Rattus norvegicus: one gene and its partners. The main gene of each other region encodes a partner of the protein of the gene in region 4 in a complex. Links are inferred from orthologs where the notes say so. Each region holds a gene or a part of one and is shown on either strand. Other genes may lie near its edges. The genes, in order: Smarcd1, Dpf1, Dpf3 and Arid1a.

The links.
Region 1: Arid1a (region 4) and Smarcd1 share a complex: the UniProt entries of both Homo sapiens proteins name them as parts of the neuron-specific chromatin remodeling complex. The link is inferred for Rattus norvegicus from reciprocal best matches to the Homo sapiens genes ARID1A and SMARCD1.
Region 2: Arid1a (region 4) and Dpf1 share a complex: the UniProt entries of both Homo sapiens proteins name them as parts of the neuron-specific chromatin remodeling complex. The link is inferred for Rattus norvegicus from reciprocal best matches to the Homo sapiens genes ARID1A and DPF1.
Region 3: Arid1a (region 4) and Dpf3 share a complex: the UniProt entries of both Homo sapiens proteins name them as parts of the neuron-specific chromatin remodeling complex. The link is inferred for Rattus norvegicus from reciprocal best matches to the Homo sapiens genes ARID1A and DPF3.

Annotation. Positions count from the first base shown.
Region 1 is NC_086025.1:132,712,685-132,719,776, reverse strand, and holds the end of Smarcd1 (SWI/SNF-related matrix-associated actin-dependent regulator of chromatin subfamily D member 1), read right to left. Parts: intron 6,950-7,092; coding exon 6,848-6,949; intron 6,616-6,847; coding exon 6,454-6,615; intron 6,334-6,453; coding exon 6,236-6,333; intron 5,077-6,235; coding exon 4,941-5,076; intron 3,484-4,940; coding exon 3,361-3,483; intron 2,384-3,360; coding exon 2,282-2,383; intron 2,179-2,281; coding exon 2,125-2,178; 3' UTR 610-2,124; downstream 1-609. UniProt on the Homo sapiens protein: Involved in transcriptional activation and repression of select genes by chromatin remodeling (alteration of DNA-nucleosome topology).
Region 2 is NC_086019.1:93,738,061-93,745,152, reverse strand, and holds the end of Dpf1 (zinc finger protein neuro-d4), read right to left. Parts: intron 6,342-7,092; coding exon 6,263-6,341; intron 6,111-6,262; coding exon 5,979-6,110; intron 5,101-5,978; coding exon 5,050-5,100; intron 4,957-5,049; coding exon 4,837-4,956; intron 3,765-4,836; coding exon 3,652-3,764; intron 3,170-3,651; coding exon of another isoform or gene 3,140-3,169; coding exon 3,058-3,139; intron 2,909-3,057; coding exon 2,838-2,908; 3' UTR 1,728-2,837; downstream 1-1,727. UniProt on the Homo sapiens protein: May have an important role in developing neurons by participating in regulation of cell survival, possibly as a neurospecific transcription factor. Belongs to the neuron-specific chromatin remodeling complex (nBAF complex).
Region 3 is NC_086024.1:108,851,816-108,859,658, forward strand, and holds the start of Dpf3 (zinc finger protein DPF3), read right to left. Parts: upstream 4,811-7,843; 5' UTR 4,789-4,810; coding exon 4,757-4,788; intron 1-4,756. UniProt on the Homo sapiens protein: Belongs to the neuron-specific chromatin remodeling complex (nBAF complex).
Region 4 is NC_086023.1:151,197,292-151,204,383, forward strand, and holds part of Arid1a (AT-rich interactive domain-containing protein 1A), read right to left. Parts: coding exon 6,941-7,092; intron 5,407-6,940; coding exon 5,199-5,406; intron 3,876-5,198; coding exon 3,743-3,875; intron 3,577-3,742; coding exon of another isoform or gene 3,574-3,576; coding exon 3,401-3,573; intron 2,757-3,400; coding exon 2,606-2,756; intron 2,531-2,605; coding exon 2,363-2,530; intron 2,286-2,362; coding exon 2,186-2,285; intron 1,726-2,185; coding exon 834-1,725; intron 535-833; coding exon 404-534; intron 1-403. UniProt on the Homo sapiens protein: Involved in transcriptional activation and repression of select genes by chromatin remodeling (alteration of DNA-nucleosome topology).

The DNA of each region.
Region 1 (7,092 bases), on a different chromosome or scaffold from region 4:
TAAGGTTAGCCTTAGTTACAGAGACCCCTATCACAGGGAAACAACACAAAGAAAACCCCGGTGTCTTGGGGCCATTCACAGAACCTCAGAAAGCATGAGATCAGTGCATGTGGTGGGTCTGTATGGAAAACCTGTCACTGGGCCCTTGGCAGCGGCTGGATGGACATGTACTCTTGGGAGAACAAAGCCCAGTTTCATCAAAATCAAGGGGCCACAGATGCCAAGGACAGCTTGTTCCTGCCAGTACATGACATGGAGATTTCAAGGACGAGGGAGACACCAGTAGCGGCACTGCCTTGTCTGTTCTTGATGGCTGGGAGTTGGAGCAACCAACCCAAGGGCATTGCTGAGGTCACAAGCCTCTAATAAGACCCAGAGTCCCCAGGGGAAAAAGACTCATTTCCCAGACCTCCAGAGCCTGGCACGACCGGCAAACATCCTCAAGAAACACCTGTCAAGGAAGAAGGCACTGGGAGGGAAGATGGCAGACACTACAGTAGTGACTCCCAGACAGCAGGGGACTCAGTGATCACCCCCCAGATAGTGGGGACCCAATGATTCCCCCCCAGACAATGGGGACCCACAGCAACCCCACAGACAGCAGGGACCTGCTCTTCAGAAGTCTTTTATTAAAACTGGGTGACATCAGTAAGGAGACAGTACAAAAAAAATTTTGGTCCATGAAAAAAAACAAAACAAAACACAATTCAGTTAATAAAAACAGTTATCAACAGGGACACTGGGAGTGCCGAGTTCACCCATCATGCTTCTAGCCAGAAGCCAGGCTGGGCTCAGCTGCCCCAAGGTTGTCCAGTGTCACTGTGGGGAGGACCTTCCAAGAGGAGGGAGGCTATTGGACATGAGGAGGACAGGGGAAACACTGCTGTCCCAGTACAGAACAGGCAGGAAGGAAGGGTGCAGGAACACTGCTCGCAGGAGCCTGAGGTGGGGGTGGGGAAGCAGGGGCTTTGTCAGTTCTGTGGGTTCAGAGCCCATGCTCAACGGAATCCCCGTGCCCAGCTGTCTCCCACCCTGCAGTGTTGTCTGCGAGCCTGGGACATGCCACTCCAGGTGACAAAACCTGGAAGAATCTGAGGCTTCCCTGGAAGACGCAAAGCCATCTGTCCCAAGGGGCCAAGACCACACAGCCTGCTGCTACCTGAGGTCTGAAGCTTAGAGGGCAGGGGTGGGGAGTCACAAACCCATTTCAGACCTATTCTCCAGCCCTAGGCGCTTTTACTCCTCAGTGCCCTGGAAGCCACCAGTGGGTTTCAACTGGGCAGACATGGGACAGGAAGACAGGGACGGCCTAGGGCTTTACCCGTTTGATTTCAGGCCTGTTTCTCCATTTTTGGAAGGGGGCAGGGTGGAGTGAATGAAGAAGCCACTCCTCTAACAGCAGGAAGGACAGTCTCTGCTGGGAATGACAAGGAAAGGCGAGATCCCAGCCCAAACACTGCGGTTAGGGCAGGTGTGGGGAAATCCTATACTGACAGCTACGGGAGTGTGTGGAGGAGCAAGAGTTGAAACCACACTCCAATACTGACATGGACCCCACTTGGGGGTCAGACAGCAGGTTAAGTCCAGAGGGCAGGGACCAACCTGGATTCAGTGAAGCCCGGAACCTGGGCTCCTTTAGTGCTAGAGGGCAAGAAGAAAGGTGAATGAATCTGCTCCAACCTGTGGAGGGAGGGAAGGAAGGGAAGAAGTAGGGTTACCAGGAAGCCAAGGTCAGCTAGCTTACAGACTGCCCCAGGCCTGAGGCTCAGAGGGCGACAGCTCCCAAGGCCTGGGTCTCCCTGCAGCCCGCCTGACCTCAGGAGGCCCCACCGCTTCAGAGCACTCATTACCACTACGGTTCTCTACACTATCTAGAGGTCCTATGTAGGACAGGGAGGTAGAGGCACGTGGGAGCTTGGTGGGGAGGAGCTGAGGTGGGAGGCCGGGGTGCAGGAAGGGATAACAGGTGACTGTGAGACGGAAATGTGACACCCTCTTCATTGTGACACTGTCCTGGAGCCAACAGCATCTCCTAGAATGCCTCAAGCAAGACCAAGACAGGGACACTGAGGCAGGCAACACGGGGCCCACAAACTCGGTGCAGACACTAGGGCCAGGGAGGCCCTATGTGTTTCGGATTCCCAGGGCTTGCTCTAATTCTTGCCGCCTCTGCTGCACCTGCAGAGAAAACAGGAATGCAAGCTCGAGAAACCAAAGGCTGGCGGCCAACGCCGCTGCCCCTCCTTGGGCCACTTCCCCTGTGCCCCGGCACAGCACCGACCTTGGAGTAGAAGTATCGACACACGGCCTCCTGGGCCCAAGGCTGGAAGTAGAACTCAGCTCGGCGCTCCTCTTCCGGATTACCCACCACATCAGTCATTGTCTGAGGGAGGAGAGGACAACAGGGTTCCTGCTTTCAAGTCTGCTCTCAGCTGAACTTACCTCTTGCCCACCTCCAACCCCCACCAAAGATGCTGAAATTCTAATCCCCCGGTACCTGTGAATGTGACCTGACATGGAATAGGGTCTTTGCAGATGATCAAGTTAAGAGTTCATTGGGATTGGCCCTAATCCAGTATAACTGGTGTCCTTATAAAGGAGGGAAATGCAGACAGACAGACAGACACATACACAATGTGAAGACAGCAAGCCTGAGCTGAGGGACACCCAGGGTCACCAGAAGCTAGTGGAGATGTACAGGACCAACCCTGTGGCTACTTTCATTTGGACTTCCAGTCTCCACCACTGGGAGACAATCCCAGTGCTCAAGCCGCCCAATTTGGGTCAGGTTTCTTCAAAAGCCCCAGCAGACAAAAAAAAAAAAAAAAAAAAAAAGACACCCCCAAGTCACCCCAAGCACCCATTAAGTCACTGTCAGCAGGTGACCTTTCTGCTGTGCTGGTCACAGCAATCACGAGTCGGGCACCTATGGCAAGCCGCCAAGGCACATCTTCCTGCCTGGGCCTATGATTTTCTTCTTCCTGGGAAGCATCTTCAACCCCATCTCGCTTCATCTGCATCCCCTCACTCTGAACAGGTTTACTGCCGCCAGTCGGCTGGCCACGGTTTACTACCCTTTAGTGACACACTAGCCTATGTTTTCCCAATGGAACACATCTGTGGGGGATCAGAGCCCAGATCCCCAGTTCTAGTCCAGCTGGGAGTCCAAAGCCAACACTGGGGAAGTGCTGACTACATTCCTGATGGCCCTGCCTCATTTCCCTCATCAACTCTAAAATGGGATGGACTGAAAAAACAAAAAGGTGGTCCCTCAATTCTTCAACCAGCTTTCTGCGCAGAAGTAAAATGATCACGTGTTGCACTCCCTGAGTCCCTCTGGGCCTTTCTCAGGCTCTTTACCTTGAGGTCCCGGCACTGGGATTGAAGCCAATCATTGATGAAACCCTGAGGGTCTCGGGCAAAGCTCAGCATGAACTCTCGTTGGGTCTTCAGCTGGTTGATAGTTTCTATTGTCTCATGGATCTGAAAGAAAGAAGGAAGCTCCAAGGTAAAGGCAGACCCAGGCTGACATTGTCAAGGTGCCCAGAGTCCACGGGTGCAAGCACTCGCACGGTGGCCGTCTGGCTCCCTTCAGAAAGCAACGTGCTGGCTCCTATGCAGGTAAGGGAAGCTGCAATTTCGGTGTCTTCAACAGGAACCAGTACAAACCGAACGTTTGGCCACCACCATGCTCCAGCAAACCCTCGTGCTCTCTTAGCTTCGCAAGACACGGTCGGCTGAAGTCTCAACTAAAGTGGTTACCCTTCCCCTAACTCTCCTTCTCCTTCTCCTCCTTCTCTTCTTCCTCCTCCTCCTCCTCCTCCTCCCAGACAACTCTCCCTCCAAGGCCGGCCTCCTCTCAGCCCCACCCAACAGGAGCCACATTCCTTTGAACTCCATCCTGTCTGCACCTTTAGTTTGGAGCCTGGACACATCTCCCACAAACCATCAGCCCAGTCTCCAAATGGATCTGCTGCAGGTCTGCCCCTCTTCAACTCTCCCCACCTCCCCGCTAATGCAAACAGCATTAGTACCTCCATGACGAAGGTTTTGTCCCGGCTCTTTTACCTCACCTGCAGGAGGGATACATGTGCTTTTCCCAGATCAAAGCGTTACAGCCAGGCTCCTACTGCCCCAGTAGCTTCCTCTCCCCAAAATCATACCCTGACATCTTGTACTTCTTGTGCTGATTTTGCGGTTATCTGTAATTGTAGCTGCCAGGAACTTGTTATGTATACAAGACTGACCCTGAACTTGGGGTGTACCTCCTCCTGCTGCTGCTCCCAAGTGCTGGGATTGCAGGAGTGAAGAACATGCCTTCCTCTGCTTCTTTCATGGATACCCCAGGCTCATTCTCCCTTTGAATTCTTGCACACCTTGTTCTATCTCTCTTGTCTTCTGCCTCCCATACCCCAAACACCACTGTGTTTCTTTGCCATCTGTTAACTTCTATTTCACCCTTCAAATTTTAGTTGAGGCGTCTACTCTCTAGGAAAGTCCACACACATTATCTCTGGTGGCTACAAAGCCCTTTGGTTTTGCGTACAGTGCCTACAGTACCAATGGCGGCAGCAGGGAGAGCTCCCACTGATACCTTATGGCGGGAGGCACAGGCTCAGGTCCTTAATAACGTGGTCTCATTTCACACGCAGCCGCCATGGCTCGTGTCTATAACCCCAGCACTGTTGAACATGACGTAGAAGAATCATCATGCATTTGAGGCCAGCCTACTCTACAAGGGACAGATGCACTCAAAATGCTAAAAACAAAAACAAAATGTAATAGGCAGAATCTAAATGCATGTATGTAACCTGCCTCCACTTATCACTAAACGTTACCGACAGCCTGACAAGTTCTGGGTATCAACATATTTTTTAGTTAAAAACGAAAAGCAAAAGGCAGCTGGGAGCTATGATGGACGGTGGGACAGAGACCCCGACCTTGTTGTCTAGAGTAGCGATCTCCTGCTGGCTGGCAGTGGACAGCAGGAAAGAGTTCATCTGGGTCTTCAAAGTGTCATCCACTTCCACATCAATGTCGTAGCACGCTGTCTTTTTCTGGTCATTTGGGTCAACACTGGGGAGGAAAGTAGCAGAGTTCAGTAAATGGCTTTTTCTGAGACCTACGTACCAACGTCAGAAGATGGTCCAGGGATGAGAGGAAAAGGAAGCGACTGCAAAAGGTCAAAGTGCACAGCAGAGATGCTCAACGTCTTCCTTCGGAGAGCTGTATGGAGTTGTATCTCCAGATGCCTTACTGCCTTACTTCAAACAGATTTAACCTACGGTCCAGCCTGCCTCTATGAGTAACAACTTGTAACTCAATAAATTTGGTTTTCAGTACATTCCCATATATTCATTCTCTGTGTGTGTGTGTGTGTGTGTGTGTGTGTGTTTCCCAGGGCTGATGTCAGGTTGTCAGGCTAGGCAGCTAGTGCCTTTAACCAGCTGAACCATCTTGTTGGGCTGAGCTTGGTTTTAAGAAAGTCATAAAGTTCAAATAGCACCAAAGGCATTTTGTGAAAACTTTTAAAGACAGGAGTCCGTGCAATGGACTTTAATCCCAGCACACAGGAGGCAGACGCAGGTGGACCTCTATGAGTTTGAGGGGAGCCTGGTCCACAGAGTGAGTTTCAGGACAGCCAGGATTACACAGACTCTTGTCGGAAAAAAAAAAACAGCAACAAAAAGAACAGGACTCCAGTTTCTGTGGACGCGATGTACAAGCTATAGAGGGACTACAGGTGAGGGGCTCAGGGACTAGGGAAACTCAGTCTTTCCGGAGTAACTGGAACAAAGAGGGCAAAGAGCAGGCGTCTGACAGGCGCAGGGCTCTTTATCTTCCAAATTATGAGAAAACAAAGCAAGAGTGGGAGTCTGACTGGAAGCCCCTCCTTTCATAAAAAGATGACTGCTGACTCCCACCACAGTGACAATCTGCATCTCCCGCGGGAAGTGGAGCCCTGCTGTGACAGTGCTGGCTGATGTCCAGCCACTAACACTCTAGCTTTAGCCAGAGAAGAGTGTGCAACCACCCCAAACACCAGTAACCTTCAGGCATAAACTCTGCAAAGGTGAGCAGGTAACAGGCAAGCAGAGGTTGGTGCCATTATCGGTTTTCACAGTAATGAGCTTACGTAATCTAAACAGAAATAGAGCAAGTGCATCTAAGGAGACCTCTGGACATCTGATAACGGGACGAGCAGGCTCCCGAGGGCAGGGTCCAGCACACTCACCTGATGACGTGATTAATGATGATGGGTTCTGGTGGCATGAGCAGGGCATGCAGCCGCTGAGGGATCTCTGAGAACTTCATCCGCTGAGATTCAAAGATCTGAGAGAGAGAGAGAGAGAGAGAGAGAGAGAGAGAGAGAGAGAGAGAGAGAGAGAGAGGCATTACAAATCGGCACTTTCAGTGCAATTAGACTCTCGAAATAGAATGTGCCTTACATACCTGCTGGAGGTACTTGTCACAGATAACAAACTCTCGCTCGTGAGGGTCCTGGAGCTTATGTGTTTTAATATATTGCCACAGTGCCTGGATGATCACTGGACGTGTCTGGGTGTGGATGCCCAAGAGGCGAGCCAGGCGAGGGTCTAATTTAAACTGGGGGGGCTGCAGAGAACCAAGAGTGTAGATGAAGCTAATGAGATGGATCCATGTGTCTTTCGGGGTATTTAGTACAGCAACGGACTCAATCTAACGGACATTAGTAAATCTGGACGGCAGGGTTACAGAGGACGAAGACACATGCTGCTGTCGCTCTAGTGGAAGAGCATTCCTGAGTAGTCAGACACTCATACACTGCGGCCAGGAAAGCTGGACTCTCCACACCTCCCAAGAGTACCTGGTAATCCAGCATCAGCAGGACAGTGCACCGTACATTCACATCTCCTGGTCGCTTCACCTGGAAGCCGTCTGTCTCCTGGGTAGTGGCGGTCCTGTGCCACTACAGAGAGGAAGGTGTCAGGGGGTACTCTTCCAGAGGAAGAGCTGGGGTGGGAGGGAAGAGCGTCTGTAATAACTGAACATTCAACTTCCATTACTGTGGCTACTGGGGAAGAGCAATAGCTCCAGGCATCTCTAAAAAAC
Region 2 (7,092 bases), on a different chromosome or scaffold from region 4:
GGGGACCAGAGATAAAGGAAGATTGCCATCTAGGTAAAGGAAGTATATCAGACAAACTCCTGAAGCCTCAGCCAAAACCAGGTTTTCTATGGCCCTCCTGGCAGGACCGGTGGGGGCGGCTTGAAACTTGGGGCCCTGGATCTGTGTCCTGCCGAAACTGTGGACATCCGCGGGTGGGCGGGGCATGAGGCAAACTGACTATTTAGACTCAGGAATTCCACGGGAAGATCCTAAAGACCCGCCTCCTGTGGGAAGTCGGCCTCTCTGGACAGGACTGCCCCCTCCCCATCAGCTGTCTTTACGTTCTTCAAGTCTGAGCTGAACTGTGGTACTCCTCCGCACCCTACCCTCACCACCCCACCAAATGTCTTCCGAAAGGTGTTTGCCTAGTTCCAGGGGAGAATCAGCCCTCGCAAGGGTTTCCAGCTACTCAGACATCCTCACTCTCCACCCTCCTCAGGGCCCCATCCAGCCCAGCCCTCCCCCCACCAACCTGGGCCAAGTGGGGGAGGGAACCCGGGAACAAACTGTTCTCACATCCTCTCCTGGCCTGGGAGACATACCACCATCTCCCAACACCCCACAATTCACACGCGCACCCGCACCCGCACGCCAAACCCTGATGGCGCCTGCACTGCACCCTGTAGTCCCTTTCCCTTCTTGCCCCAGTTTTTCCTGCCCCTTCCCCCACTTCTCCTCAGCCTGCCACACTATCTCTTTGGCCTCATCTGCCTGGCACTCTCTAGATTTCTGTTGTCTGCACCCCCACACCCCTTTTTAAAGAGACGTCTCATAGCCCAGGAATGACATGTAACTCACCGTCCTCCTGCCTCAGCCTCCAGTGCTAGGATTCTGAGCCACATGGTGTGTTACCATCCTGGATGGCGGTCCTTACATTCTTTATTGCCTTCCAACAAAACCCACTTCCCTCAGCCCCGTGTCTTTTGTCTGGGGGCTTTGCCTGTCCCCTTACCACATTTTGTCCCTCTGACTTTGTAAATTTTCAGCTTGTCTCTCCAAATAGCTGTCCACTTCTCCCTCCCCTGGTCTTGCCAGAGCCTGGCTTTTTTTTTTTTTTTTTTTTTCCTTCTTTTAGACTATTATGTCCTGGACTAGTCTTCCACCCCGTCCCAGTCCTCTTCCCTCGGAGTTCCTGGGACTCTCACATTTGCCCATCTCCCCACAAATGAGCTTTGTCCTCTTTTTTTCATTCAGTAAATTTGTGGCCTCAGAATCCTCTTCCTTTCTGACCATTGCCCTGGTACTCCATTCCCACCCCCACCCCACCCTGCCTGTTTCCTTAAATCCCTGTGTTTTGAGACGTCCTCCTGTCCTCCACTTTTAGCCACACCCAGGACAGGGAATCCCAAGTGACAGCCAACCCGGCTGAGGTGCAATCTCCGAACCCTAGCCTGGGAGGGGGCTGCCTTCTGGTCTCTCCAGCCCTCCCTTCCCCCCAAGTCTTCACTCCCACCTCCCTCTTTGAGCTGCCTCCCGCTGCAGCTGCAGCAGCCCGTTGCTATGGCAACCACAGCTGGCTGGGTGGGAGCCCCTCCACCCCATCCCCCTCTTCTCTCCAGCAAGACAGGGAGGAGCTGGGACAAAGCCAGAGGGAGGCATGGTGTAGGGGCAAAGAGGTGGGGGCCAGCCACAGTGGCTTCTACCCCAGTGAGGCCCCTTGACTTCCCATGTTGGTGACACCCCAAGAGAGGTTAGAGATGGAAGCAGTTGTGGGCAGAGGGGTCCGGCCCAGTTTAATACACAGAACAAGTTAATTCACAGCAGAGGCAGGCAATAAAGGAGACTTGGTGGCAAGGGGGGTACTCCTGGGTTGGGGGGCAGACTCCCCCAGACCCTCCACCTCCCCCCACTTGCAGTCTCAATTTCCCTTTTTTAAAACCCGAACAACAAACACACACAACCACGAGAAACGACCACACCTCCTTGCCACCCCCAAAATGGCTAGCGATGGGGGGAAGGAGGCAGCCCAGCCTGGCTGGGTAGGGAAGGAAAGGGTTGAGAAGGGAGAAAGAAAGAAAAAAAAACAAAAACAAAAACAAAAAACAAAAAACAACTGAGTCCATTGCAATCTGTGCTTCTTCTCATTGCAGCGGGCTGGCTGCCTGCCTGCCTGCCTCACCCCACCGGCCTCCCCCAGCTGCAAGCCCCAGGTCTGGCAGGCACCGGGTGGGCGCAGGGCGGGGCTCTCAAAGGAGGGGCAGGAAGAGTTCAAAACCATGGTTCACATCATGCAGTATCCACGGTGGGTACCGGGAGGGGGCAGTGTGTGGGCACCATGCCCACCTGGCCTGGCTGTGAGGAAGGTGTGGTACCCACCTCAGATGGGAGTTGAGACAATTGCAACTCCAGAAATGGGGTGGGGAGGGGCCATTCAGGAAACTGGTAAAGTCAGGTCCCAGCAGACACTCAGTGGCCCCCCACCCAGCCAGGCTTAGAGGAATCTTTGTATATATTAATTTCTTTTTTTTTTTCCTTTTTTTTTTTTCACGTTTTGTCTTTTTCTTTAGAAAAAGGCTTTTTCCGTGCCACTGGCTGGCATCCACTACCCCTCTATGCCCGCCCAGAGGCGGGGTATGGCTTTGAGGGGAGCAGAAGCCTGGTGCCCACTTGTCAAGGAATGAAGATGGGGGACAGGAGGGACCCTGCTGGACCCACCCTCCCTCAGGGTAACATTCCACTTGCAGAGGGAGACCGCCTTGGCCCCTCTCTGGGCTTCACCCTATCCCTTCCACTGGGGACACCAGGCGGGAAAAGTCAGGAGCTCCAAGAGGCCGAGGATAGCACCACCCAAAGGTCCTGGAGAAGCAGAGCCAGGTCTAAGTCAGGGTGATGTAAGCGGAGGCCTTTTCTTTCAAGTGCCGGAGACAGAGGTGGCAACTCCAGCTCCCTGCGGGGGAAGCCAGTGAGACAAAATTAGACTCAAGCCGATGAAGAGCGCCCCCCCCACCTGTCCCCACCCAGAGCACATGGTCTCTGCCACCAAGAAGACAATGTTCCAACCCACCCACCCCGTGTCTCACCCATCTCTTCCCTCACCTTCCGGGGGCTCCGCCATGGGAGGGCTCAGGCAGTACATGTGGTAACCCCGATCGCAGTCGTCACAGAACAGCAGCTGGTCCTGGGGGGTGAGACCCGCCCAGCTGGCACCCTGGGGGCACGGGCACCAGAAACCGGGGTGGGGGGCTGGGGCAGGGGCTGGGTCCCAGGGGCCCTTATGAGAAAACTAACTGGCCTTGTCGCGGCTCACACAGTGTGGTCTGGATTCTGTAGCTACAGAACGCTGAACGATGTTCAACTAGCCAGAGACCAACTTGGGACCAATATATAGGTTCGAATGCTGGCCCTACGACCTTCTGAGCTTGGCGACCTCAGGCGTCATTCTCCCTCTCTGAGCTCAGTATCGTCTCTGTGTAGTGGGAACCAGAGCACCAGCCTCAAGGGAGGCTGGGAGGCATCAAGGGGAAGAATATGACAAAGGAACACTAGGGACGATGGTGACCGTAATGCATGCTAATGCTGGTCACCCAGGGGTTATGAACAAGGAAGGCTTTAGGCTTCACGAGCAAAGGTGGCAGAGCCAGGCCGGAAGGGAAGCTGGGGATGTGCCCGGGAGGTGGGGCGGGCACTCACGTCATTCTCCGAGGTGCCACACAGGCTGCAGGACTTGCATTCGATACACTGCCAGCGGTAGGTCCGCACGGCTGCGGTCATGTTCACCGTGAACTGTAAACACGAGGGATGTCCTGGGGGTTGAGGGGCAGGGAGGCCGTTAGCGGAGTCGTTGTACCTCTGGTGGCTACTGACACGTGGGGAGGTAATGGCTCTATCCTCAGCCCCGACCCAGAGGTCAAGGTGAGCTCTGCAGTGGGACCCTAACCCTGAGACCAACATCCGGAAGCTCGACTGTCGGGCAAGCAGCCGTGTGTTGGCCACCACAGTCTCCTACTCAGCCACCATGACAACCACACTCTGCTCCCCAGAACACCATGGCAACCACATTCCATTACCCACAGTGCTGTGGCAACCACGTTCTACCACCCACAACACCGCGGCCACCACAGTCTGTTAAGTATTGCGCTAGGCAGCCACATTCCAATACCCACAGCAGAGCGTCCAGCCCTCCTGTTAACCACAGCAACGTGGCAGCCGACCTCTGCCAACCAGGATGCTATGGCAACTGAGTTCCACAACAGGGTCCCCACACCTTGCTTCTCTGAAAACCAAAGGCCATCCCGCACCAGGCACCAGCAAACGAACTTCCTCTGACAACACTCGCGGTGTGAATCGGCTCAGCCATTCTCCCACGGCGCGAAGGCACCTGTAGCCACTGCCCACAGCACCCAACGGTTACAACTACATCTCTCAGAGCCAGACGCCAGTAGCCACAGCACTCTGCCCACAGCACATCACAGCCACAGTCCATCATCCACGCTGCTCAAGTGACCAGCCTTACTACCCAGGAGGCCTCCATGGAAAACCACACTGTATTAACCACAGTTCTACAGCACACAATCCTGCTATTCACAGCACCCAGGTGGTGCAATTGCTCCCACACCTCCGTCCCCTACCCACAATGCCTCCCTAGCTTCTCTCTACTCTCCTTGCCGGGAAAGCACAAAGCCAGGGCACCTTGTACTGTTGGTTCCCACTGTGCCAGCAAGCCTGCTCAGTCTGTCACAAACCCCTGCAGCAGAGGCAGCCCCTAGGACAGGCTAGGGACAGCCCCTTACTCGCCTGCCTCCCACTCCCTAAATTCAGATTCTGAGATGTCCTCCTCCCGCCTCCGATCTTCCAGAAATACGTAGTGAGTTTCACCTGATCGCCCGCAGTCCGCACAGGAGATGAGGTCCTCAGGACATCCAGTCTTCTTGGAGCCCCCCAGGCAAAAGTCACAGTAGCCATTGGGGATGACAGTGCCATCTGGTGCTTTCTTGGCTGAAAGACAGCAGGCAGCGGTGGGCACAGGACAGGTGAGGCGTGCCAGTCAAAGACTACTGCAGAAGTCGGGGAGGAGGGAGGTGCCCCTACCTGTGTGTTTCCTCTGTGCCTCGGGGACCCAGGCCAATTCTTTGTAAAACTCTGGGGGTAGGGGGACAGAAAGGGGCTCTTACCATAGGCAAGGTCCCATCTGTCCCCAGCCTCAGCCCCAGGGGCGGACCCTTGGCCCAGGCACTGGGAAGTAGCAAGAAAGCTGGGGGAGGGACAAGGAATGCTCACCAGAACCCTAACTCTTAGGATTCTATTTGGGTATGTTTTCTCTATTTGGGTAAAAGTGTGAGGATAGACATAACCTTAGCAAGAACCCATGGCTGCTGCCACCATCGTGTGTTTGCACCCCCCAGGTAAGCTTGCCTAGGCCAACGCTTAGCCCGCAGTTCTGCAACGCCTAATCAGGAGGACATTGTTATAGCACAGAAGGTTCTGGGTCAGGCCTGTGGATTTGTAGAAGCTGTCTTTGAGGGACAGGTGAGCTAGGCCCCCTCCCCCCATGGTTCAGTTGTCATGGCATGGAACAGCCATGAGTGGGTATCAAGGACCCTGGGGACCTTGCCCCTGGACCCTAGCATAGCAGAGGAGACAAGGGAGGTCTAGGAAGAGAGGGGATCATCTACCACCCCACTCCAGGTTCTAATTGAAACAATAAATCAGACCCAGAAATAAACCCGGGAAGGGAGTGAGTGAAAGAGTGAGAGAGACAGAGAGAGAGAGAGAGAGAGAGAGAGAGAGAGAGAGACAGAGAGAGAGAGAGAGAGAGAGAGAGAGAGAGAGAGGGGGTTGGTTGTCATGGCAACCCTAGAGCCAGCATCCCTATGATTGGTGGGGGAGGGAACCGTGAAGATTTTTTCCAGAAATGTCTAACTGTGCCTCCACCTCCCCAGACACTACCAGTCTCCACCGCCCCCGCCCCACCCCTCGCACCTCACCCACCAGCCTTGACCCTCCAACTCACAACTCACGTTTATGGTTGTTTTTCCGGTGGAAAGGCAGGGCGTGGCGCTCAGTGTGCTCCTCCCCCTCCTCCTCAGCCAGGTGGGTGTGGGTGTAGTGGTAGCTAAGCCCTGGCCGGTTCTTATACCTCTTCCCACAGACTGGAGGGGAAGTGAGCAGGTGGTTGTCAGACTCCAGGGCCACCTCCTCCACCCCGGGTCTCCAGGATCACACCCCCCTGCTCTGCCAAGGGCCAAAAGGGAGAGTCCCTGGGTCCCACACCCCCTCTCTCTTTCCCCTCGGCAGAACTCACTATCACAGACGTACGGCTTGTCTCGGTCCTCCAAGGATGCGTTGTCCTGGCGTTTCCGGAGACCTCCAATGCCATACGCCTGTAGGGAGGAGGGTTAGGAGTAAGGAAGCCAGGAAACCAGGGAAAGGCTCATCATTCCTGGGGCTTTTGAGTTTGTCCTTGTCGTTGCTGTCGTTGCTTTAGACAGAGTCTCATGGTGTAGCCCTGCCTGACCTGGAATTCACTCTGTCGATCAGACTGGCCTTAAACATGCAGTGATCCTCCTGCCTCTGGGTTACGGGTATGTGCTACCATGCCTTAGTGGGTTTCTTCATTTAGACTTGAAAATTCAAACTGAAGAAAAAAGTTAAAATTTTCTTAGTACTAGGGGTGTGGCTCAGTGACAGAGCAGGTGTCATGGGAGTATGAGACTCTGGGTGCCATCGCAGAGCCACACAGCAATAATGAAGTCTCCCCATTAAAACCAGGCACATTTTCTAGCTGTGAGCCTTTGAACTTCTCGCAGTACACCTATTAGATAGTTCTTTTTGGTGTTGTTTTGAGACAGAGTCTCTCCACACAGTCCTTGCTGTCCGAGAACTCGCTATACAGATCAGGTTGGCCTTGAACTCACAGAGGTCCTCTTGCCTCAGCCTCTCCAGTGTTGGAATTAAAGGTGTGTTCTAACACTTTTTTACTGCTCATAATGGAGGGTGTGTGTGTATGTGTGTATGTGTGTGTTGTGTGTGTGTATGTTTGATTGTGTGCATGTAGTAAATGTGTATTTGCATATGTGTCTGTATATGTGGTGTATATGCATGGTATATGTGTGTATATGTTCGTATATGCAG
Region 3 (7,843 bases), on a different chromosome or scaffold from region 4:
CGTCTCTTAAAACCAATAAACAAACAGACAAATAAATAAGGATTCACTTTATCTGTGTGCGTGCGTGTGCGTGTGTGTGTGTGTGTGTGTGTGTGTGTGTGTGTGTGTGTGTGTGTAAGGGTGTCAAATCCCTCGAGCTTGGATGCTCTATGTAGGTGCTAGGAACCAAACTCGGGTCCTCTGGAAGAACCGCCAGTGCTTTTTACTCTCCGCCCACCCCCACCCTCCTGTTTATTTTTACACTGATGACTAAAGCGGAGAGAAATGGTAGTGGTCAAGCATCTGTTGGCTTCAAGGGTCCTTTTCCATCAAGGACTAGAATGGTGTCCATAAAAGGCCGAAAATTCACAAAGCCCCCTACCCCACTGTTCTCTGCTTCATCCCTACTCACCACCCCTTCCCCAATCAAAATAGCCAAGACAAGATTAGGACCAGGAATGTGGCCCCCTGACCCTTCCTCTCTGATAATTAAACTGGCTCTCTCAGCAAGAGTAAGGTCTGGTTTCTAACCTTCATGTGCCCCACACACACATCCACATCAAAGAATGGACAGAGAGATAAAGACCTGACCACATCATCTGTACACACGAGCCATGTTGAATACTGATCAAGTAAACATTTCCTCCTCTTAGAGTTACGTCCTTAATAATAAAGCAAAGTACCTCCAAGCTGGAGTAACTCTTTACAAAGTGAAGCTTCAAGGCAACTGTGTACAAGGAATCATCGTTATAAGCATGACTAAATAGTTTAGCTTTCTGGTTGTCTATAATCAAACAATTAAAGCATTACAGCCCTAACTAGAATAATGAAGTGACGATAGCATTTATTCCGTCTCTGAGCCCGGAGTTATAAAAACAGATACATATGTACATTATCAAGTCTGGCAGAAGGTGGCAGGCATTCCCAGTTAAGTGCTACCAGCAGAGTTTTGATAAGTTACTGTGAGATTGTGCTGCTTAAAGTGTTGTTGGCAGACACGGGGGAAGGTGAGCACCCTGCGCTAGTATAGTGAGATCTTACAATAAAAACATAAGTAAGAGTGTCTGCTCTACGCCTGAACAGAGTTCAATCCCCGGACCACACATGGTGGAAGAAACCACTCCAAAGGTTGTCCTCTAACCACAAACACACATACACACATACACACACACACACACACACACACACACACGCTCGAGCTTCCACACACATACACTTGTTCCAGCACCACACCCACTCAAGACACACACACATAAAATAGTATCTTTGTTTTAATAGGGTCTCTCTATGCAGCTCTGGCTGCCCAGAACTCACTATGTAGGCTAGGCTGGACACCAACTCCGCCTCCCCAGTGCTGGGACTAAAAGCATGTGCTCACCTAAAATAAATAATTTTTTAATTAAGCATTTTATTTCCCAAGTATACAGAAATCGACAACATGTAACTTACACCCATGCCTTTATCAAATCTATCCCTGTTCACTTCCTGGGTATACAGGAGTTGAGGAGGTCTCTGATGAGCTGCACTCAGAGGACAGGGTGTAGCTGCTAATTTAAATAGCAGGCAACTCACATTTACACATCATATGTGTCTGTCAGTGTCTCTGAATTCCATTTGTCCAGATGTGACCGCTTAGCTGTGGGGCCACCTGCTGCGTTCCTTTCTGATCTAATCTGACCTGGCAGCTCCTGTTTCTGCGGCTAACACCCTGTTGGGCAGTAACAAGAAGTTAAAGGCTGGAATGGAGAAGCCAGACTGTCAGCTTCAGAGAGGAAGGGGTGAAAGCAACCAGCAAGAAAAAGGAGTTGAGGAGAGATCAAAGACAGCCAGGAAGAAAGGCAAGCTACCAAGAAAGGCTGTTTTCAGGCACTTGGGACCCTACAGAAGACACCCCCAACCCCACGCGAAGCAGAGATTCAAGTTGAGCCATCTAGTCATCCAGCGAGTTGAATTATTGAATGCCCCCACATGGAAAAAAGCTAGCAAGATGAAAAGGGACCCAGAGTCTAAGGCACAGCCCTACACGGGGTGGCATGAAAGAAACCTGAGCTGGCTTCTTCCCAACACCGTTACTACTGCTACTTATCCCCAGGCTCAAGAGGAAATCTTTCTGTGACCAGTTTCTGTAGGGGGCGTCCGTGATGTTGCCTTTTTAAGACGAGAGAGAGCGCTTGCACACGGAGAAAATGCTAATGTGGCTTGGAGCTCCCTCATTGTCAGGAGGGGCACACAAGGATAAACACGTAAGCTCTCCAAACCATTCCCCTCACTCTTCCTCCTCCTCCCTGCGCCCCCATCCATCCCTTCGGCTGGATGCGTTGCTCTGCTTTGTTCTAATTTAGCCCATGCATAATTTATTCACGTGTGTTTTGTTTCCTGGTCAGCAACTTCTAAAAACAAATGAAATGTATAGGATGTTTTATTAAACAAGTTGTTTTTAAAATAATAATAATAATGATAAAAGCAGATGGCCTCGGTCTCCCAGTAACGATGTGTGTGTGCTCCTGCGTGCGGAGTTTTGAAAATGTCCAGGGTGCAAAAAGCTTGGCTGATTGGGGTTATTGTTTACACCCTTAGTCCTCAGGGGAAGAGGATGGGATACAAAAGGGGATGGCTAATTATAAGTGACCACTGGACTTCCTCTGAGGAAAGGGCAGGCAGGGGTGTTGTGGGTGAGCGCCCCTGTGCGTGAGCCAAGACGGAGTTACAAATGCATCCCACGGCAAGTGTTTCCAATTATTAAGGGATACAAGGATAATTCAGAACTAATTCTATCAACCGAGATTGACCACCTTCTAGCTTCTCTGTTCCTTCTCCCCACAATTTCCAATACACGCACGCTTCTGTGTCAAAAAAAAAAAGTGAAAAGATCTGGGGAACCCTGGAGCGTGGAGCTCCTGCGCGCGCCCGAGCGTAAGCCCGCTCCCGGGCACCAAGGATGCCGCTTTCCCAATGAGGAACCCCGTACACATAGCAAATAGATCTCTCAGACCTGAGTTTACCAAGCAGCATCAGCTCTGCTACGTGATTTCGACTGGAAATGAGGAAATTGCAAATCAGCTGTGTGGGTTTTGGAGAAACTCACGGCACCAGCGGTGTGGTGGCGGGAGTCGGCGAGGACGCGGCGAAGTTACGCCCATTTATTCTGCCATAAAACATTTTTTTCCCCTCTCAGGTTAAACGCTGTCGCGAGTGCAAAGTAGCTGAGCTTCCGAGCGGGAACCGGAGCCAGGAACTCGCATCAAGCTCAGCCCCTGTCTTTACCGCAGTATCTCGTGGAAACTCCGAGATCTGGGACATCCCTGCCCTATTCCTGGTTGTTGGCTGGTGCAAACGCAGCGGGTTCTCCCTACGCGTTTCTTGGCACTAGGAATCACACACACACACACACACACACACACACACACACACACACACACACACACTCGCCGCCGCCCTGCTGCTCCCCAAAGCGAACGGTGTTTTCGACTCCCGGAGCCAGGGCTTAGGACGCTGTAGCGCGCAGTTAAAAGCCAAGATCGACCACTGACACAGACCGGGAAGAATTGGTACTAAACACCCACGCGCACCCTCCGATTCCCAGAGGCTTTCATCAGGGCGTGAAGTCCTAGTACACTCGGCACCCACCCGGTGCCCACGCCGCGCCGCGATTCCCAAGGATCCACCCTCTGCCAACATCCCTGCCAATAGCGCCCCTTGAGAGCCACACTAGTTTTCCCAGGCCACCCCCAGCTCCACGATCACCCGCAGACTTGGCGGCTTCATATTCAGTCCACCGACTGGAAGGAAGGAAGGAAGGAAGGAAGGAAGGAAGGAAGGAAGGAAGGAAGGAAGGAAGGAAGGAAGACGGGCAGGCAGGCAGCTCCGATCGGAACCGGCCCCCGCGAGTCCTTGCGCAGCCCGCCCCCCTCTGTCCGCTCAAAGTCTCCGGGAGGCACCTGCCCCTCGCTGTCGCCAGAGCCCTACACCGCCGCCTCCGCCGCCTCAGCTTTTCACCCAGAGCAGGCGAGCACACCATTAATAAGACCTGCAGTTTCCCCGTCTCCATATCAACCTCAAGTTAACCCAGATCGTTAATTTACTAGAGCCAGTTAGCCTACAAATACACAGACACACCGGCGACCGCCCGGAGCGCCCGCCTGATCCCCGGCTGCCGGAGTGGAAAAGCCCGGGGCAAGCACCTGGGCCCCAGGACTCCCGGGACCCGCCGCTCCGCGCGCCGTCCTCCCAACTCCGGAAGGTTTACACAAACTCCCTGGGAGAGCTCGGAAGGCAGAGCGAACGCCCTGCAAAACTCCGCAGCCGCTGCGGTCGGTCTGCCCGCCCCGGTGGACAAGCAGCGGGGCCGGGGAAGCTCCGGCTTGGAGCGCAGGGCATAGCAGAGCGCAGGACGCGGCCCCTGCCCCGCGCTCCGGCCGGACTCAGCCAGCCCCGCGCGGCGCCGGGAGAGGCAGGGGACTCCGGGGACCGTGAAGACCCGAGCTGCACACGACCCCCGCAGCTCCGGAGCCGGCGCCGGCGCTCTGTGCTCCCTCCCGGTCCGGGTCAGCCAATTAAGCAGAACACAAATTTAACAATTTTCTTTTTGTTAATTGCATCTCCTGACATTTCTGCGCGCTGGGAGGAAAAAAGATGAAGAAGTAAGAGCAGGAAGAAAAGAGGAGCCCGGGCGCAGCGGGAGGCGTCTGCGAGAGCCGAGCGCCGGCTGCGCTCCGCAAGGCGCCTTTTTTTCATATTGAAACCACGCGGAATATGTACATTTTTTAGTCTTACTTACGCTTTCAGGGGGTTGTGAATGACAGTCGCCATTTTGCTACAATGTAACAGAATATTGTCTGTCTCAGAGTTCTAAAGGTTCGCTCAGGGGAAGCGGCAGGCCAATCAGAGCACGGGATACCGGTCTGCCGGCCAATCGGCGCGGCTGGTCGCCAAGTGGGCGGAGCCTGCGTGGTGGTAGTTATTAGGGGAGCTGTCAAAGCCCAGAGGTCACTCCCTTTTGTAGAGCCCGAGAGCGAGCAGGTCTTAAAGGGGCAGTACCGTGTTAGTAGCGCCCTTTCAAATAGGGACTAGTGGAGATACATGGGAGAGCAATCTCGCTTAGTTTGAGTCCCTACTTTACTAAATAACCGCAGAGTTTGCGCTCCTGGACAAGAATATTTACATAATGCCAACAAAAATGCTGAATCCCATTCATTAGCTTTGGGCTTTGTATATCACGGTTTTAACCCCCGAGTCTCGGGTACACCACTGTGTTACAAGTGCAAAAAGTTGGAAGGCTGCAGTTTCCTCCAAGAAATTACTACTGTGCTCCACTCTTTGCTAAAAATGCTCTGGGTTCTGCCGCTGTTCAATTTTCTTGTTCCCGAAGTGTTTTCTTTATCTCACCCACCTTCCTCGGTCGGTTTCTGAGAACGGGAGAGTCCAGGGCAGCAACTCCCTTCCCCCTGGAATGTCTCAGCCATGGTTTTTTGTTACGTAATTCACAGGTGGTCACTCTGCACGGTCCCCTACGACCACCGTTCTCCACTGTCGACGATTTCGAAGATCTGACACGACCAGCTTGGGAACGAAGTGAGACCTGGCACCTTTTAGGCAGAAGGCTGGGGAAGATTTGAGGCAACTTTAGGAAACGCAGCTAGGGAAGCCAGTAACTAGGCAGAAATTGTTAGAGCCTGACAATTGTAGGTGTTGCTAGAGTCCCCTCCGGGAATGGCTCTGCGAATCCAGGCGTCACCTTTCTGGACTAAGATAGGAGGTGAAAAGAATCTGCAAGTGAATGTTCAGACGTGACTGGAGGCTTCCCCAGTCTTCGGCTGCTTAGAGTCTGGTGAACCCCTGAAGAAACTAAGACTTCTGCGAACTCAGGCTTCCACGGAGCACAGGGAGACTCAGACTGGGCGAAAACGCACGAAATCACATAGAGTCCAGAGACTCTATCGTTAGCATATAGAAGTCTGGCTATCCCCTGGCTGTTTAATCAGGTCAAATAGCAGAGAGCTGGAGAGTGAAAAGGAAACCGAGAGATGCTGAATTGCAGTTCACAATTCCACCTGCTCTCGCCTTTTACGACTCTCCATGAATAAAGTAAAATACAATCACAAAGCAGTTCGGAACTTTCAGATTCCAACTCCATTCACTATTAGAGTTACAGATAAGCCCAGCAAAGCTGAGTGAGTCCGTGTGTGCAGACTGGAAATATTTAACTCTTTGTTTGCCTAGTAGGGTGATGTTCTCCCCCACCCTCTCTTCTCATTACAGAGTCTCACGATTAGGAAGCTGTTTTTGATGCACTGTAAAGAGAACCAGGTGTGATAGTGCTCCCTTAAAGTTCAAAACCAGCCTGGACTACATATGGAAACCCAGTCTCACACACACCCCCAAATATGGAAACCCAATCTTATCACCCCTCCCCCAAAATAGTATTGCCTTGGTTTTTCGACTTCATGGAAAGTCATTTTAACTGTCAGTACAATTCTGACTTGGTAGTCACTTTTATCACTTCTGAGAAATAAAGAGATATTGTTATTAACTTTGGGGTTTGTATCATAGATTAAAAGGACACAGATTTGGGCCGAAATCTTCAAAAGCAAGGGATTTAGAGTAAACATGCTTGAAGGAGACAGAAACCTTGACCAGAATTAAAGTCTGGGCTTCACCAGTGCTGTGCAATAGTAATATAGACTCTGAAATCCATCTGTCTGCCACCATTTGCCAGCTGGTGACATAAAGAACATAGGAATCCCGAGAAGATGACAACAGACAGCAGAAATAATTCTCTATTTCTAAACTCATTGATTAGAGCAAATGAACAATGTTGATAGCAATGTTTCCCCAATTTAACTCCATAAACCTAAAACCCTTCTTATTGGTTGTGATATCAAAACACTTTTTAAAAAAAAATCACACTTCAGGGTCTGGAGAGATGGTTTGGTGCTTAAGAGCACACATTGCTGCTCATGTGGACCTAGGGCAACCCCCAGCACGGGCATGGTGACCCACAGCCTTCTAACAGGAGTTCCAGGGGGGATCTGATGCCCTCTCCTGGACGAAGTACGCACAAGACATGCACATGGTGCACAGATAGACTTGTAAGCAAAACGCTCCTACACATAAAATTAAATTCATCACAAGTCAGGGGGCTAACTCAGGACCTCAGAGCCTGCCAAATACATATCTGTCTTAGGGGTTAGTCCCTGACAGCCCAAGGGGAAAAGGAAAAGAATAGCGATAAAGAGGAGGGGGAAGAGGGAGAAGGAGGGAGGAGGAGAGGGAGGAGGGAGGAGGGATGGAGGGGAGGGAGGGGAACAAAATCCCATTTCTAAAGCTCTGTTGGCTCGCCTGTGAGTACAAACCCCATCTTGCCTGCCTTGATCTAGGTGGCTGGGCAAGCTATTTGGAATGCAGAAGGGAGCCAGAATGATCACTTCTCCCCCTCCCCTAGGTAGCAGTGAGCTTTGCTGTCAAACCAGAGCTTCCTGAGCCCAGGTGACTACTGAGCATTTGATAAGTGGTAATTCTGAGATGTGTCAAATATACACACGACTTCATAGGCTTAGCGCCAAAATAGGAATGCAAATTAGCTATGAGTGGATTCTCTTAGGGAAGGCCACACCTACCCTTGCTCTCAAACCCCTCCTCCCTCTTTCTGAATGTCTCTCTTCCTCCTAATCCTCATGCCTATATTAACATATCATTTTTTTTGAAAGATAGAGTTTCATGTTGTAGCCCTGGGTGCCTCATGAATGCTGGAATTAAAGGCATGCCCAACCTTACACTAACCGATTGGTATTAAACTTCCCTCCAAATAACCGAATTATTTTATATTGATCACGTGTAGAAATTATGTTTGGGGTTTCCTAGATTA
Region 4 (7,092 bases):
ACTCCCAGCTGAGCATGGAGCGAATGCTAAGACAAGAGCGCTTTAAGTTTTGTGGCTACCTCCATACTGTTAACTTAGTAAGACCCTGTTTCAAAACAAGATTCCCTAAAGAAAAATGAAATCCTTTCTCCCAAATAAATTTCCTTTGGACAGGATAGCCAGAGGTAAGAAGAGAAACCCTGTCTTGAATGCGACCGGGCTCCTTCTGAAAGTCGTCTTACAACTCGTGTAAACTAGCGCTGCGTCTAACGCCTTATCCCCGAGAGGGGCAAGGGACACACACTGTGAGCATGATAGACTTCCAGCAAAGTGACGAGGGCTGACGAGGGCTTCATTCCTGCTGTGACCTAGTGTCATCTACACCAACAGTACCTTCCCCACCTCGACAGAAACCTGTCCTTACCTGGCTGAGGTTGAAGGTCATGATGCTGTTGTCATCATACAGTAGGATGTTAATGGTGTCTAACGCCCACGTGCTCTCTGCCAGGAGCCCGGACTTGAGGGACATCATTACCCGCCATGCCTCCGGGGTTCCTGAAATAAACCTCTGTGTTGTCCATCCACCAAGCCCCAGCTGGCTAGAGGTACCCCCAAGGCTGTCCTGAGTCAGGCTAGTCTGACTTCATTGTTCTAAGCGGTCTAGGACACCAGCATATGGCAGAGCCTTCAAGACAAACCTCAATCAGCTCACATCTTCCATCCTCCACACTCTTTGGCTTTCCTTTAGCAAATACTGTACCAGATTTAACCACATCCCGGACATTGGGATGGAGGAACCACGTGAGAGATGGAAAGGGGTAGATTGAGCCACCCAGTCAGGGAGGTCTCCTTACCAATGTCTTTCATCGTGAGCCGCCTTCTCTGCTTCAGCACAGGCTGTGTGGCCTCCACAGAGCCAGGGGGAAAGGTGATATCCCGCCGGATCATAGGCGGCTGCACAGGGGTAGGCGCTATGTGCGAAGCAGGCACTGGTGGACCTGCCTTTTGCATTTTCATCCCAGAGTGCAGGAATGGAGACTTGCTAGGAGAAGTACGGTTCTCCATGGGCCGGGGCAGGGGAGCGGGACTGGATACCTGAGGAATGTGATTCTGCATGCTTGGTGGGGGCTGGTAGTTAGATGGAGGGGGTCTTGTCATGGGGGGAACAGGGGCTGAAGGACCATAGGGAGGCTGGCGCGTGCCATGGGAAGGCCACGGGCCTTCATGGTTGGCCCTCTGGTCTGTGTGGAGCATCTCATCTGTTCGGTTCACACCATGATAAGCAGGGCCCTGGGGGGCAGAGCCTGTGTTCTGCCTGTTGGCATAATTGTAGGTCATGTCATTTCGCCCCTGCCACATGGTGCCTTGCTGAGCAACCTCAGCGGATGCCTGTATGGGGCCGCCCATCATCTGTGGTGGCATGTTCTGCTGGGCATTGGAACCAGGAGGTGCAGAGACTCGGTCTCGGCCAAACTGGAATGGAAATTGGTTCTGGGGGCCGCCTGCTGGTCGGCGCTCAGTAGCAGCGGTGGCAGTAGCAGGGTAGGCATTGCTGTACTGGTTGTAGACATCCTGCTGAGGGGAAGGCTGGGCAGCTTGTGGCTGGCTGGCAGACTGGGACTGAGCTGCAGGCAGCTGCTGCTGTTGAGGCTGCCCCTGCCCAGTGCTGTACGGCACACTGTACAGCTCCCCTTCATGCCGCTTGGCAGGAGGGCCATACGTGCCATCCATTGGCCTCTTATAGTTCTAAGGCAGAGAAAGCAGAAAAGAAATTAATATTATGTAACGAGTCACATAAAGTCCAAAGAGTCATGGATAGCTTCCACTTAATAGATATTAACTCATTTTTCTTTTTGCCCCATGAAAGACAGGACAAATGTCAAGAAAGCAAACACTTTTGTAAATTACTTTTTGAAGCTGTTTCTGAGAGCAACCACTATTTTCTAGAGTTCTCCTTTCAAATAGAAAAATATGTAAAACATCAAAAAATCAAAACAAACTCTGTTTCTAGTCCTTTCTTTAGAAGAGAGACTTAATAAACAAGGAAGACAAGTGACTCTCTCAGTAGAAGTGCCTAGTTGGCTAAGAGGAATACCAATGTCGTAGCCAAAATGCATATTACGGATGCTATGGATTACACTGGGTGGCTTACAGACGGCTTTCAGGGGCAATGGGTGTGGGTATATCCCCAAACTCGCTTCCTTACCTGCTGCTGCTGCTGCTGATACATTGTGGTCTGCTGGCTGGGGAAGGGACTGCTGGAAGGGGTGCCTTGGGTGGAGAACTGATTGCCATAGGAATCGTGTCTGCAGAAGAAGGAGTGGGTCATGGTGGAGAATCACAAACCTGAGCAGCACAGGCAGAGGAAGCAGGAGTCACTCACCGCTGCTGCTGCTGCTGCTGCTGCTGCTGCTGCTGCTGCTGCTGCTGCTGCTGCTGCGGGGGGTAGCGGCTAGGAGAATACATCCCCGAGTCTGGGGTGGAAGGCATGAGATTTGGCTGAGGGGCTCCAGTGCCCATATTTCCTTCAGGGCCAATTCCAGGCTCCGTCCTAAACAAGATTGGAGAAGAGAATTGAGCAAAGTATAGCTTCAGGGTATCCAGGGTGGGATGGGCAGGGGCTTACCTCACTCTGTCGTAAGGACCTCCATAGGGATAGTGCTGTCGTGGTCCCATAGCCACATTACCCAGCCCAGGGCCAGCAGCACGGCTGTAGGGGTCACCCATCCCGCCGTTGGGACCCTGCCCTGAGGACATGAAGGGATCACTTCCTGGAGCTGAGTACAAAAAGGAAGGCAGTGAATGAGGAAACCAGCAGGTTGGCAGGCTCATCAATGTACACATTCCTGCGACACGGTTCCAGGCTCTCTACAGAACATGGTGTCTTCCTGTTTCTTTCCTGACAGGTTAAATAGAGAATGCCAAGTCTTAAGAGTGGCTAGGTAAGGGCTGGAGAGATGGCTCAGCGGTTAAGAGCACTGACTGCTCTTCCAGAGGTCCTGAGTTCAAATCCCAGCAACCACATGGTGGCTCACAACCATCTGTAAGGGATCTGATGCTCTTTTCTGGTGTGTCTGAAGACAGCTACAGTCTATTTATATATAATAAATAAATCTTTAAAAAAAAAAAAAGAGTGGCTAGGTAAAGCAAGTTGAAAGAGAAAAGGAGGAGGAAAAAATATATAAGAGTTTGGTGGCTAAGTGTGTGGGGCTCAGTGGGATGAAACTTGCCTAAGGTAAATGACTCCCTTGCTTCAGCCTCTAGCATCATCCCAGAAAGGAAAGAGGACAAGGCCGGCAGGGGGAAGGGAAGAGTATGGTGAAGGGTGACACACAGAAGCATTTCAGAGGCTCTCTCAGCACTACCACCAAGCCACTCAAACTCCACAGGCATAAGCCAGCACCACCCAGCAGTCAGTCACCTTTCCTCATGCCGCCATAAGGATCCTTATTTGGCTCATAGGACATGCGCCCCATCATGTCAGAGGTATTCATACTGGGCTGGTACCCAGGGTTTGGAGTCATGGAATTCCGCTTCTGGAATGTGGGCTCACTTCCATCAGGAAAGGCATCCTGGATTCCAACTGAGTTGCTCCTGCTCCAGAGTGAGGAAAACTAATGAAGCCCCCCATACACCAATTCCTCAGATAAGTCAAGAACCATAGAAGCCACGGGTGGGGGAGTGAATAGGCATGAACTGCCCTCCTCAGGTTACCCCAGGTTACCCCCAGACACACCCAAGAGTTCCTGATCATGAGCCTTACCTCATGCCTGGTAAGGGGGGAATTTGACTATGTGGTGTGGATGCTGGAGTTGGTGGCTTCAGGTCTCCTCCTTCTGCCATAGAACTGCTGGTTGACTGAGGCGTTTGTGGCCCCTGCATAGACCCTGATCCTGCTGTGGACAGAGAGGCAGGGTGAGCAGCTAACTATAAAATTACGGATGCTTTAGAGTCTGGGTGTATGCACATATGCATTTGTATGCGTCTGTTTCTCTCTTCTGAGACAGGGTCTCATACTGTGGAGCCCAGGCTGCTTGGAACTAAGGATCCTTTCTTTCAGCTTCCAGAGTGCTGGGACTGACACTGTGTTTGCCTTCCCAGGATCCCTCTGTGAGAGACTTTCAGAGTCAGTGATGTAAAGGGATTGGATCTTATCACTTATGGAAGCATGTCCTGATCAAACACAAAACACTGGCATACAACAGTTCACATACAAGAGCTGCACACCTGAGCTCCAAGAAACATCCCCCCACTTTGATGTTTAAGGGTTGGCTGCAGTCTTGCTTTGGAGAAAGGAGGCGGATGTTATTTTGCACCAGGTCATTTAAGCCTTGGGTAGCTTCCTGATTACCTAGCTTTCTTTCTCCAAAGAACCTGTGTAACCTATTAAACATCCCCCGATGCTGAGCAGTGAATGACTAATTAGAGCCCCCAAAGTACAGGGTGTAGAGCGGAGTCACATGGCCAGAGCCTAGTGTTTCTATCAGGCACCCAGCAAAATGTCACCCTTAGGTTCTTTCTAATATTCCTCTAAAGAGCACAGAACTCCCAGTGATGAGCATTTCCACTAGGTACCGTTCGTTTCTAGCATTAGACAGCACACTTCTGAGGCCTTCCCAAGCTGATGAGTCATCTCAGGCACACATCACACCCTCAGAGGTCAAAGACAGGGCACATATGTTTACACCTACCTTCTAGGGCCCTGGCCTCTTTCCCATGCTAGCCTAGGCCCAGCCTCCTCTGAGAACAGAGGGTAAAGCAGCACTCCTGTCATCAGAGAAGTCCCATTCATATTCCCTCTCTACCCTCTAACCATTCATTACCATCCCAGCTCTCCCGGGAGTTTACAGCTCTCTTCTGAGCTGCATTCTAAGGCACTGACATCAGCAGGCCGAAGCTCCCAGATGGCCCAGCCACACTGCTATTTGTCAGTTTTCCCTCACTCCTCTGGTGTCCCTCCCACTCACTAGTTTACAAACATTTGGCAAAATGCCAGGCGTACAACAGGAAAATGAGAAAGTTAAAACTTAAGGCTGCTGCACGGCACCTCCCAAGGGAGTCGCCACTACCGCTCTTTAGTCTGCCAACCTGCCAAGCCACGTGGATGGGTAAAAACACACACCCCTGGCATCTGCTCTGCTCCCTGGAGGAAGGGAGGGAGGCACCACTACCTAGGGAAGTGTGCCCTCAACCTCAGTGGGGTGCTCAGCCATTCTTACCAGGAGAGGGAGGCTGGATCTTGGGTTGGGACTTCTTGGAATCAGCAGCTGCAAAGATATCAGGGGGAGGGTCTTCTCCCCGCTCAATCTTGCACTCAAAGGCATAGAGACACTGGATATACTGCTTTTTCAAGGAGCTGGCGGCACTGCTCGATGTGCCCACATTGAGGTTGGTTGCAAGTTCCCGCCATTTTTTGTTTTTGTTGACCTGAAAGACCACCAGAAGAGTCATAGTACACTTGACCCAGGCTTCCAGCTTGGCAAGAAGCTTCCAGTTTGAAGTAACTGCAAGCAGCGCTGCTTCTTAAGACAGGACAAGCAGAAGGCTGACGTTGGAACAGAACTCAGTGCCTAGTCTGGATGCTCTAACCCTCACCCTCTAACTTCTTAAAGCTAATGATTTCTACATGATTCTTCACCACCAGTGTGAGGCTGTCAACCTAAGGACAGCCAGTCCACTGTTCTGCCTCCTTGTTTCAGTCCCAGGACATACTGACCAAGACTATTTCCCAAATATTCTTCTAATTAGTACTGTGGCAGACAGACAGGTCTGGATCCATAGTGTATTCTTCAGCACAGGGCCAGCTTATGCCTCTAGTGCAGAGAACACTGGTACAAGCAAACATTTTGGACTATGACACCTTTGAAGTGATAGTTGCAATCTTCAGAGCTTAGAGAAGCTCTAGATAACCTCCACGGAAAGGAGGTGACCACAACACTTTGCAAGGTGGCACTGGGTGGGGAGAGTATCGCTTTGGTTGTTTGTAAAGTTAGCAACAGTCGTGTTTAACTGCACATTATCTCCTACCCTGTAACATCGGACCCGTCTACTGGGATGATCTTTCACTGACCTGTCAGACAAGCTCAGGACTCAGTCTTGCCTTTCTCAGGGCCTTCACTTAGAAAGGAATTCTTACTGTCTTTGGAATATAACTACTTAACAGCAAGTAAGATTTCCTTTTTGAACTGGAGGACAAGCTTTGTTCTGTATCTCATCCTATGCTCAGTGAGTTCAGAGCCCCACCAATCAGAAGGCAAGTTATAAGCAACCAATCCCCCTTTCCCACAAGTAGGAAACAAGGACCAAATGGCAGTGGAAAGCAGATATGCACGCAGGGTCACCTCAGCCGCCCTATGTGGCTCTGCTTCCCACGCCAGTTACATGGCAGCCTGCACGTGCCCTATTCTGTTTTGTTTTCCTTTGTGGGGGAGGGGAAGGAAGCCTGAAGGGAGAAGGGATTCAGAAATGATTAGTAGTTGGCTTCGTTCCAATCACTTTCTTTTCTGCTGGTGACAGCTGTTTTCCTTTTCTGATTTAGAAGGTTTGGAATAAGTTTCTTGCTGTCAGGCTCTCCCACCCTCACTAAGAGTTTCTGGTCTGTACAATAATGAAAAGATCACAGAGGAAAGCCTACAAGGCAGAGTGAGCCTCACTTGTCAGCCTCTCTGGCTAAACAGAAACGGACCGTGAAGTATGGCAGTGGCATTTCCAGTAAGGACTGAACTCTTCTCTGAAGTCACAGTATAAAGGAAGGCTTCCATCATTTAACTTCTTCCTCTGCAACTAACTCTATAAGCAATTTCCCTGGAAGACAGAGTCTGGTTCCCATAGTCTGGACTCTTGCAGAAGCTTTACGTGGATCATTTCTAACATCTGACATGACATCACGTGTTTTAAGTGTCTCAGAACATGACCCTGTGGGATAAACGGTACTCTCAAAAGCCAAATGTCTGGTGCTTACCTGAGTCAGCCCACCAATCTCCTTCACAGACACATAGAGGCGATAGAGGTCCAGAGGCTTCCTCCCAACAGCAGGCAGATTTGTCATGCCCATGGCCTTTTCCTCTGTGAAGGCCAGGTACCGGTCCACCCACATCTTCCTCTCGGGCTCAC